Linked DNA regions of Cricetulus griseus. The protein of the gene in region 1 purifies or fractionates together with the protein of each later gene. This does not show direct contact. Links are inferred from orthologs where the notes say so. Each region holds a gene or a part of one and is shown on either strand. Other genes may lie near its edges.

What was found.
Region 2: the proteins of Cd19 (region 1) and Cd81 purify together in Homo sapiens (affinity purification with western blotting, with the first as the bait; 3 studies listed by BioGRID). This does not show direct contact. The link is inferred for Cricetulus griseus from reciprocal best matches to the Homo sapiens genes CD19 and CD81.

What each region holds. Positions count from the first base shown.
Region 1 is NC_048596.1:74,392,525-74,397,055, forward strand, and holds the start of Cd19 (B-lymphocyte antigen CD19), read left to right. Parts: upstream 1-1,452; coding exon 1,453-1,540; intron 1,541-1,710; coding exon 1,711-1,977; intron 1,978-2,250; coding exon 2,251-2,457; intron 2,458-2,576; coding exon 2,577-2,855; intron 2,856-4,004; coding exon 4,005-4,112; intron 4,113-4,352; coding exon 4,353-4,401; intron 4,402-4,531. UniProt on the Homo sapiens protein: Functions as a coreceptor for the B-cell antigen receptor complex (BCR) on B-lymphocytes. Decreases the threshold for activation of downstream signaling pathways and for triggering B-cell responses to antigens.
Region 2 is NC_048596.1:58,320,062-58,323,871, reverse strand, and holds the end of Cd81 (CD81 antigen), read left to right. Parts: intron 1-834; coding exon 835-932; intron 933-1,839; coding exon 1,840-1,914; intron 1,915-2,141; coding exon 2,142-2,246; intron 2,247-2,560; coding exon 2,561-2,662; intron 2,663-3,036; coding exon 3,037-3,123; intron 3,124-3,203; coding exon 3,204-3,266; 3' UTR 3,267-3,800; downstream 3,801-3,810. UniProt on the Homo sapiens protein: Structural component of specialized membrane microdomains known as tetraspanin-enriched microdomains (TERMs), which act as platforms for receptor clustering and signaling.

The DNA.
Region 1 (4,531 bases):
CACCACACATACACAAACATGCACACCCCATACACCAAACATACATACACCACACACACACACACACACACACATACACACACACACACACTTTTTTTTTTCCTGTGCTGGAACCCAGGGAATTATATATGATAGGCAGGTGCTCTACCATTTAGCTACATTACACACCCAGTTCACAATCCTCCCCTTTTTTGAGGTGGATTGACACAGGGTCTCACTATGTAGCTCTGGATGACTTGGAACTCAGAGAGATATGCCTGTTGCTGTCTCCCAGTTGCTGGGATTAAAGGTGTGTGCTACTATGCCTGCTTGGTTCTTCATTTTTTAAAATGGGGTCTTGCTATGTAGCCCAAGCTGGAATGAAACCCAATATGTGGTATGTGTACGTGTCTATGTGTGGTAGCAGGGATTGAATCTAGGTCTCGAATATACTCTATCACTGAATTATGTCATCAACTTTTTAAAAAATATTTTTAAATTTTCAGAAAGGGTACACAACTGGGTCATATATGCAGAGTGCCTAACAGTGAGAACAAGGCTGTCTCCAACTCTTTTACAGGCTCTTGGGACCCTAATCCTTGTACTGGGTCACCTTGCCCAGCCTTAATACATGGAGAGATGTTTAGTCTTACTGCAACTTAATATGCCATGTTTTGTTGATATCCACTTTCCCTGCACTTTCCCGAATAGAAAGAGAAGAAGAGTGGATTGGGGTTGGGATCAGAGGGGAGACTAAAGGAGAGAAATTGGGAGGAGAGGAGGGAGGGGAAACCACACCCGGGATGTAAAATAAATAAATAAATAAATTTATTAATTTTTTTTTTCAGACAGGTCTTGCTAAGTAGTTTAGACTTGCCTTGAACTCACTCTGTAGTCCAGGATGGCCTTGACTTTTGTGATCCTCTCAAGTAGCTGGAATTATAGGACTGGATCACTATATCCAATATAAAGTCCTAATACTATCCCCAGACGATAAAGAAAAATGTGGAAACCAGGCATGGTGGCACATGACTTTAATCCCATCACTTGGGAGACAGAGGTATGAAATAGGATCAGAGCCTGGAGTCTGGAGAAGGGAGAAGGAAGGAGAAGAAGGGAGACCCGGAATCTGTATTCACTCATCTGACAAATATTTACCAGCCGCACTGTGTGGAAAACACTGTGTGTGCGGCGGTGAAGATGTTAGCCTTGCCCCATGGGGCTTCCATGCTGAAACATACATGTCATCTACTTGGGTTAATTTAAGTAGGTGGCAGGGAGGGGACAACTGTTGTGGATCTGGAAGAGTGCCTACAAAAGGGGGCCTAAGGTGTGACCACCCCTTTCCTCTATGGGGGGGACTGCCACCACCCCCACAGACACCCATGCTTCATTGACCACCGGCCTCCTGCTTGCCCCAGCATCCTCTGCGCGGCCACACAGAAACTGAGTGCCCCGGGGAGCCTGGCTACCATGCCATCTCCTCTTTCTCTCTCCTTCCTCCTCTTCCTTACCCTTGTAGAAGGCACGAGCCAGAAGCCGCTACTGCTAGAGGTAGAAGGTATGTCCGTCTGTATGTCTGAAGGAAAGACCTGGGGTTGGAAGCCTGGGTTCTGGGTTGAGTAACTGGCCTTCTCTGAGCCTCAGGGCTTCCCATATGGTGAACTTCTGGGGTCCTTTGGTTTATGAGGAGGGAAAGGGGCTGGGGCTCCCGTCTTCCTCTCCCCACAGAGGGAAGCAATCTTGTGCTGCCATGCCTCCCGGACCCCTCACCTAACTCTACTGAGAAACTAGCCTGGTATCGAGGGAATCAGTCAACACCCTTCTTGGAGCTGAGCCTAGGGTCCCCAGGCCTAGGCCTGCGTGTGGGGTCCCTGGGAATCTTGCTAGTCATTGTCAATGCCTCGGACCATATGGGGGGCTTCTACCTGTGTCAGAATGGGCCCCCTTTCAAGGATACCTGGCAGCCTGCGTGGACAGTGAATGTGGAGGATAGTGGTAAGTGCTGGGACGGCTGGGTAGTGGGGGTTGGTGGGAAAGAGGGTCTCTCCACGGACAGAAGAAGGTGGGGCTACAATGACTGAGAAGGAAGGGGTTATTTCTAGGCAGCAGGTTCCTATGGATTGGTAATTGCTTTGAGCTATCCCACATCTCTGTCTCAGTCTTCTGTCAGGCATAGTTACTTTCTCTCTGTGTCTCCGGTTCTGCCTTTCCGGGTCTCTGTATCTCCCCCTTCTCATGTTCTATGTATGGTTTGGGTTTTTTTCCCAGGGGAGCTGTTTCGCTGGAATGCTTCAGATGTAAGGGACTTGGACTGTGGCCTGGAGAACAGGTCCTCAGGGAGCCATAGGCCCTCTTCTGGTTCCCACAACAGTTCCTGGCTGTATGTGTGGGCTAAAGACCATCCTGAGGTCGTGGGGACAAAGCCTGTATGTGCCCCACAGAGGATCAGTCTGAATCAGAGTCTAATCAACCAAGGTAAGGGGACACTGGGAAGTGGGGTCCCAAGGATAGGAAATGGTGCTGGGAGCTGGAGGGTTTGGGGAGATGAGACTTCATAGGCTATACTTTCGTTATCTTTTCTCTCCCTGCTCTAGATCTCACTGTAGCCCCTGGCTCCACACTTTGGCTGTCCTGTGGGGTACCCCCTGTCCCAGTGACCAGAGGCTCCATCTCCTGGACCCGTGTGCATCCTAGGAGGCCTAACGTTTCATTACTGAACCTAAGCCTTTGGGAAGAGCACCCGGTCAGAGAGATGTGGGTTTGGGGGCCTGTTCTGTCACTGCCTCAAGCCACAGCTTTAGATGAAGGTATCTACTATTGTCTCCATGGAGGCCTGACCATCGAGATGCATGTGAAGGTCAATGAAAGGTCAGGTAGGGTTTCTCTCAATTCTGGGAATCTGTGCGGAGCTACTGGAAGAATTGGAAGGGTTAGGAAGAATTGTGATTCAGTAGAGTGTGTACTTAGCATGTATGAGGCCCTGTGTGTGTGTGTGTGTGTGTGTGTGTGTGTGTGTGTGTGTGTGTGTGCAGAGACAGAGAGACAGACAGACTGACAGCAGACGCTATTCTGGTGGTGCACAACAGTAACCCTAGAACTTGGTCGGCCAAGGCATGAATATAAGTTCTAAGCCAGCCGAGCACTAGGATCAGCTCCAAGCCTCATCCCAAACTCCAATTTGCACACTGAATACTTGCTCATTGCTTCTGAGAACTAGTTTTTCTGGGTCTTCTCCTGTGAGCTCTTCTTCTCCAATCCCTCCCTGTTGGAACCCTGGGCCTTGTATTCATTCCTATCCACACCCTCTTCTCATTTGGCATCCTTACTCCCATGACTCTAGTTTCCCATGCCTTTATACCTACCCTGGGCTCCACATTCCCCATACCCAACCATTTCCTGGAACTGCCATTTGATATCCCATGGACATCTCAGGCTTGCTAAGTAAAGTCAAACTCAACATCTTTTCCACCTATACAATAGGCTTTGCACAAATGGAGCACCCAAAAGAATCTACATGGGCCCACATGCCCAAGTTCAGGAGCTTGACTTTCTTCCTTTTCCTTATTCCATCCATCACATCAGCCACAATGTCTTTGCTGTCTCCTTAGTATAATCCTACCATGCTATCATGACCATAATAACCCTTAAATGCTACCTCAACTTGCACTCCATCCAGACATGGTCTTATGATGTATTGGATCCCAAATCTAACTTGGTAGACTCACCTCTGCCCTGCATTTTGACCATGATTATCCTTAACTGCAGAATTAATTTTCCCCTGATTGCTTGGATAATATCCATGCTTTGTGGGTGGTTTGTTAGTATAGTGTCTTGTGCTCTGTGCCAGTCTCTGTGGCATAATCCATGTCCTCCTTAGTGGAACAGAGAAGAGCCCTCTGCAGAGCTCAAGACTTTAAAGCTGTGTCTTGCTTTAGTTTCCCAGACAAATGTCCTTTGAGGGGTTGGAGAGTAAGTTAGATGCATTGTGGGGTCCTTGTCTTATAGCGACTTCCTCCTCACAGTGTGGCTCTGGCTGTTGAGGACTGGTGGATGGATGGTACCAGTTGTGACTATAGTATATCTCATAATCTGTATGGTTTCTCTGGTGGCTTTTCTCTACTTTCGAAGAGGTGAGTCATACCTACCAGTTTTCCCAAATTCTACCCAATCTTTCCCAGAACAAGGCCACACTGACCAATCTGACATGTCCTACAGCCCTGCCCTTACTTCTTTAATGCCTCTCAAACTTCCCAGGGCCCCTAGTATTTGTACAACCATCTCTATTGACCCAAGGGACCTTCCCTGTGTCCCCCAAATTCTCCTTCTGCCAGGCAGTCCCTTCTCTCATCGATCTCTTTAAATTCCACCAGCCCTTACCCTGAAGAGGAAAAGAAAGAGAATGATGGACCCTGCCAGGAGGTAAAGTAGCAGGGCCCTTTTGTTACAAGCTTTACACTCTTCCATCCTGCAGGCCTTGGCACCATCTCTGTTGGTTGAAATACTACCCAAGTTCAGAGGCTGCCTCCAAAATCACCTTCTTTGGCTTGGT
Region 2 (3,810 bases), about 16 Mb from region 1:
ATGGCGCCTTTGCTCCTGGGCTGGCCAGGCAGGGGACAATGGGCCTGGCTTTATGCAAGGAAGCTTGGACTGCCTGGCAGTGTTGCCGTGGAGACTGGGGGATGGGCTGCATCTGCTGAAGGACCAAGAGATGGAGGACTCTTCAGAGACGCAGTGGTCTTTCCCAGGGGCTGAGGAGTACTGTGGGCACTGAAACAGGGATATGGCCCAGCTGGTGCCTCGTGGGTTACAGTGCTCCCCTGTTTCTTCATGGCTTCCCAGTTTATTCACAGCCTAGACAGTGTATATGGCAGGTGTTGATGCTCTGCCAAGCTGCCCCTATCCTTCTGTCTGCCATCCAGCCACCCCACCCACAGGTTCCTGTCCTTAGGTGAACAGAGCGGTTATACACCAGTGTGCCTGAGATGAGGTGTCTGGAGTTGGCTACTGGCATAGCCTGTCCTTGCCTTCACACTCACCCAGCACTGGGAGTCCTGGGCATCAACCCTAAGCCAATAGCCGATACCCAGGCTGCTTCCCCATTTCATGCACTGAGATGGGTAGTCCATCTTAGCCCTCTACAGTGAGTGCTGAGGGTTCCTATTCTCAGGTGCAGGTAGTGGGGGACTGGCTATAGGGCAGAGCATATCTGTGAAGTGCAGATCACCTGTGTTCTCTGGGCATGGAATTGCTGTTTTTGTCCTCTGGTTGCAGTGGCAGCTCCTCCAACAGGACACTGAGGCACAAAGAGTTCACGCTGCCAAACTCTGCCTGTTGTGGGTGTGAGTGCTCCAGACACTCCTGTCTGGGGCAGTGAGGCATGCAGCTTGCTCACTGAATTCTTCCTCTCCCCAGGCATCTACATTCTCATTGCTGTGGGAGCTGTGATGATGTTTGTGGGCTTCCTGGGGTGCTATGGGGCCATCCAAGAGTCCCAGTGCCTGCTGGGGACGGTAAGTAGGAAGGGTTTCAGGGCAGGGGAGTAGTCTTCCCCAAGGTTTTGCTTTTTCTGTTTGCTTGATTTCCATTAAGTCTGACTCTGAAGACTCATGTTGACAGAGGGAGTTTCTCTTTAGAAATGCATAAACCAGTGGGGTGCCTCACCCCTAAAGCCAGCCTTAGTGTTCCTGGCCACAGTGGCTACTGATGGAGCAGAGTCTCAGATATGTCTTCTAGAGCCTGGCCAACCAGTGTGGAAAACTGAAGCACACTTCATATTTTAAACTTCCCATGGATGGAGGATAAAGGGGGTGAGGAAACTAAGGTCAGGGTTGGGGGCATATTGCTGCATGTGCCTCCCTGGAGACTGTGATCACTTGGATTTGTCTACTGCATCTCCTGTGCAAGCAGCATCCTGCAAAGCAGGGAGCAGGGTAGGGCCCTGAGAACAATAGATTATTGCATGCTGCATGCGCTCAAGGATGATCTGTAGTCCGTAAGGCTAAGATTTCTTTATTCAGATAAACACCAGCCCCCACACAAGCCAGAGCATGCCAGGGGCAGCAAGGCAGCCTGGCCAGAGAGCAGGGGCTATCCACGTGTGCGCAGTCCCTTAAGAATTCTTCCCACATCACCTTAGACCTCCCCTGACCACGCCCTCACGGGCGTGTCCCGGCACACCTGTCGGGGCTGGGGGGGGGGGGGGCGCGCTACAGTGTCTCCCTACAAAGAACTTGAACATCTCGGTGCCAAGCTGCATCAGACCCCATCTTTCATGGTTCTGTGTGGCTCATTCTTAATCAGGACATGGTTGATGGATGTGGTCAACTCCCTTGGCACATAGTTGTTGGTCATGTGGGCACCTATAGAGGGCTGGGCTTGGGCTTGCTGGTCAAGGCTCTGTTCTCGTCTTTCTTCTAGTTCTTCACCTGCCTTGTGATCCTGTTTGCCTGTGAGGTGGCTGCTGGCATCTGGGGCTTCGTAAACAAAGACCAGGTGAGCCTAGGTTCACTGGGGAGGGAGATAGGCCCCTTGCCTGGGCAACAGGAGTGAACCGCTCTGAGCCCATGGGTTACAGGGTGCCTTTTGGGTTTCTGGTGCCTGCTGGTAGAAGGGTCTTGGGAGCTGAACAGAAGAGATGGTGTCAGGTTGAGCACAGCAGGGGAAGCTGAGTGCTCTTGATGGTAGTCCCTATGCTGCAAGTGACTATGATTCTCCCCCAGATCGCCAAGGATGTGAAGCAGTTCTATGATCAAGCCCTTCAACAGGCTGTGGTGGATGACGATGCCAATAATGCCAAGGCTGTGGTGAAGACCTTCCATGAGACGGTACAGCTAGGCTGGAGCAGGGAGGGCAGGTTGTGGGAGTCCTAGTGTGTGTGATCTTTGGGGGATGAGTCCTGCCTATTTCCAGACATCAGCAACATGACAGGTCCTGGCTAAAGGTCTGTGTGATTTGTAGATCCCCAGGCAGGAACCTAATGGGCCTCATTTGCCCAGGGGTTTGGAGGAACAGGGCTCTTGAGCAGTGTGACAAACAGGGTAGAAGGCCAGCTCCCAGGTATATGGGGGTGATGGTGTGCTGACCTTGCCCTTGTCTCCTGAGGCTCCTAAGGTGACAGTGATGCTTTTGGTCTCTGCAGCTCAACTGCTGTGGCTCCAACGCACTGACCGCACTGACCACCTCTGTGCTGAAGAACAGCCTGTGTCCCTCAGGCACCAACATATTCAACTCCTTGATGAAGGTGACATGGAGTGGGGGTGGACATCATATCCTGGGTGGTAGGTAGAGTAAACATGGCCCACCAGGAAGATCAGCAGGACCTCAGAAAGGCTCACAGAACATCTCAGGTAGTGGGGTGCTGGGTCCTGACAGCCTGCGTTAGCCTCTGCAATATCCTGGGAAACTGCTGTCCAGTGGTCCCTTACACATACTGGAAGCCCTAGGGTACTAGTGAGGTCAGAAACACTATCCTGTGATAAAGAAAGAGAGCAGGTCCATGTGTTTTAAGTTTATTTTTTGGATGGAAGATAAACTGCAGGACAAGCCCCACCACTGAGTAGGGTAGTGGCTGTGACTTAGCCACTGACTGTTACCACCCTCTGGCCATCCCTGCAGGAGGATTGCCATCAGAAAATCGATGAGCTCTTTTCTGGGAAGCTGTACCTCATTGGTATTGCGGCCATCGTGGTAGCTGTCATCATGGTAAGCACAGGGCCTCTTTGGTGGGTGGGTACCACCCCTCCCAAGGTCCTAGGTGCTGACAATGCCCCTCCCTCCCGCAGATCTTCGAGATGATTCTGAGCATGGTGCTGTGCTGTGGCATCCGGAACAGCTCCGTGTACTGAGGTCCTGCACTTTGTACTACAGGGACCCTGCAGTGCCATGCCCCTGAGTGACCAGAGGCCACCTCGGGGGCCATGGCCTGTGTATATATTTCTGTATTACTCTGCTACACTTAGCCTTTTTACTTTGAGGGTTTTTTTGTTGTTGTTGTTTTGAACTTGCCCGGTATCTTTTGGGGGCTGACATCACACATAGGTGGCAGTGGTGAGTGTGGGGATATAGGGGTGGAGCTGGCCCTGGCTTGCAGGGCCCTGTACTTCTGGAACCCCTGCCTGCTGAGCCAAACCTCCTCCACAGCTGCTTGCCCAGAGGCTATGTAGCTGAGCTAGAGAGCCATGGTCACTCACCCTGCCCACTGTGGGTCACATCGATCACATCTTTTTAATCCTTGTCCCTTTCCTGTCCCCATTTCAAGAGCTGGGTTTGTAAGCACTCTTATGCCTTCAATGCACCTGTTCTTTCTAACGTGTCACCTTCAACTGTAATTACATCTGAAACAGTCATTTAATAAAGGAGGAGAAAATCAGGCATGCTAACCGGACTGTC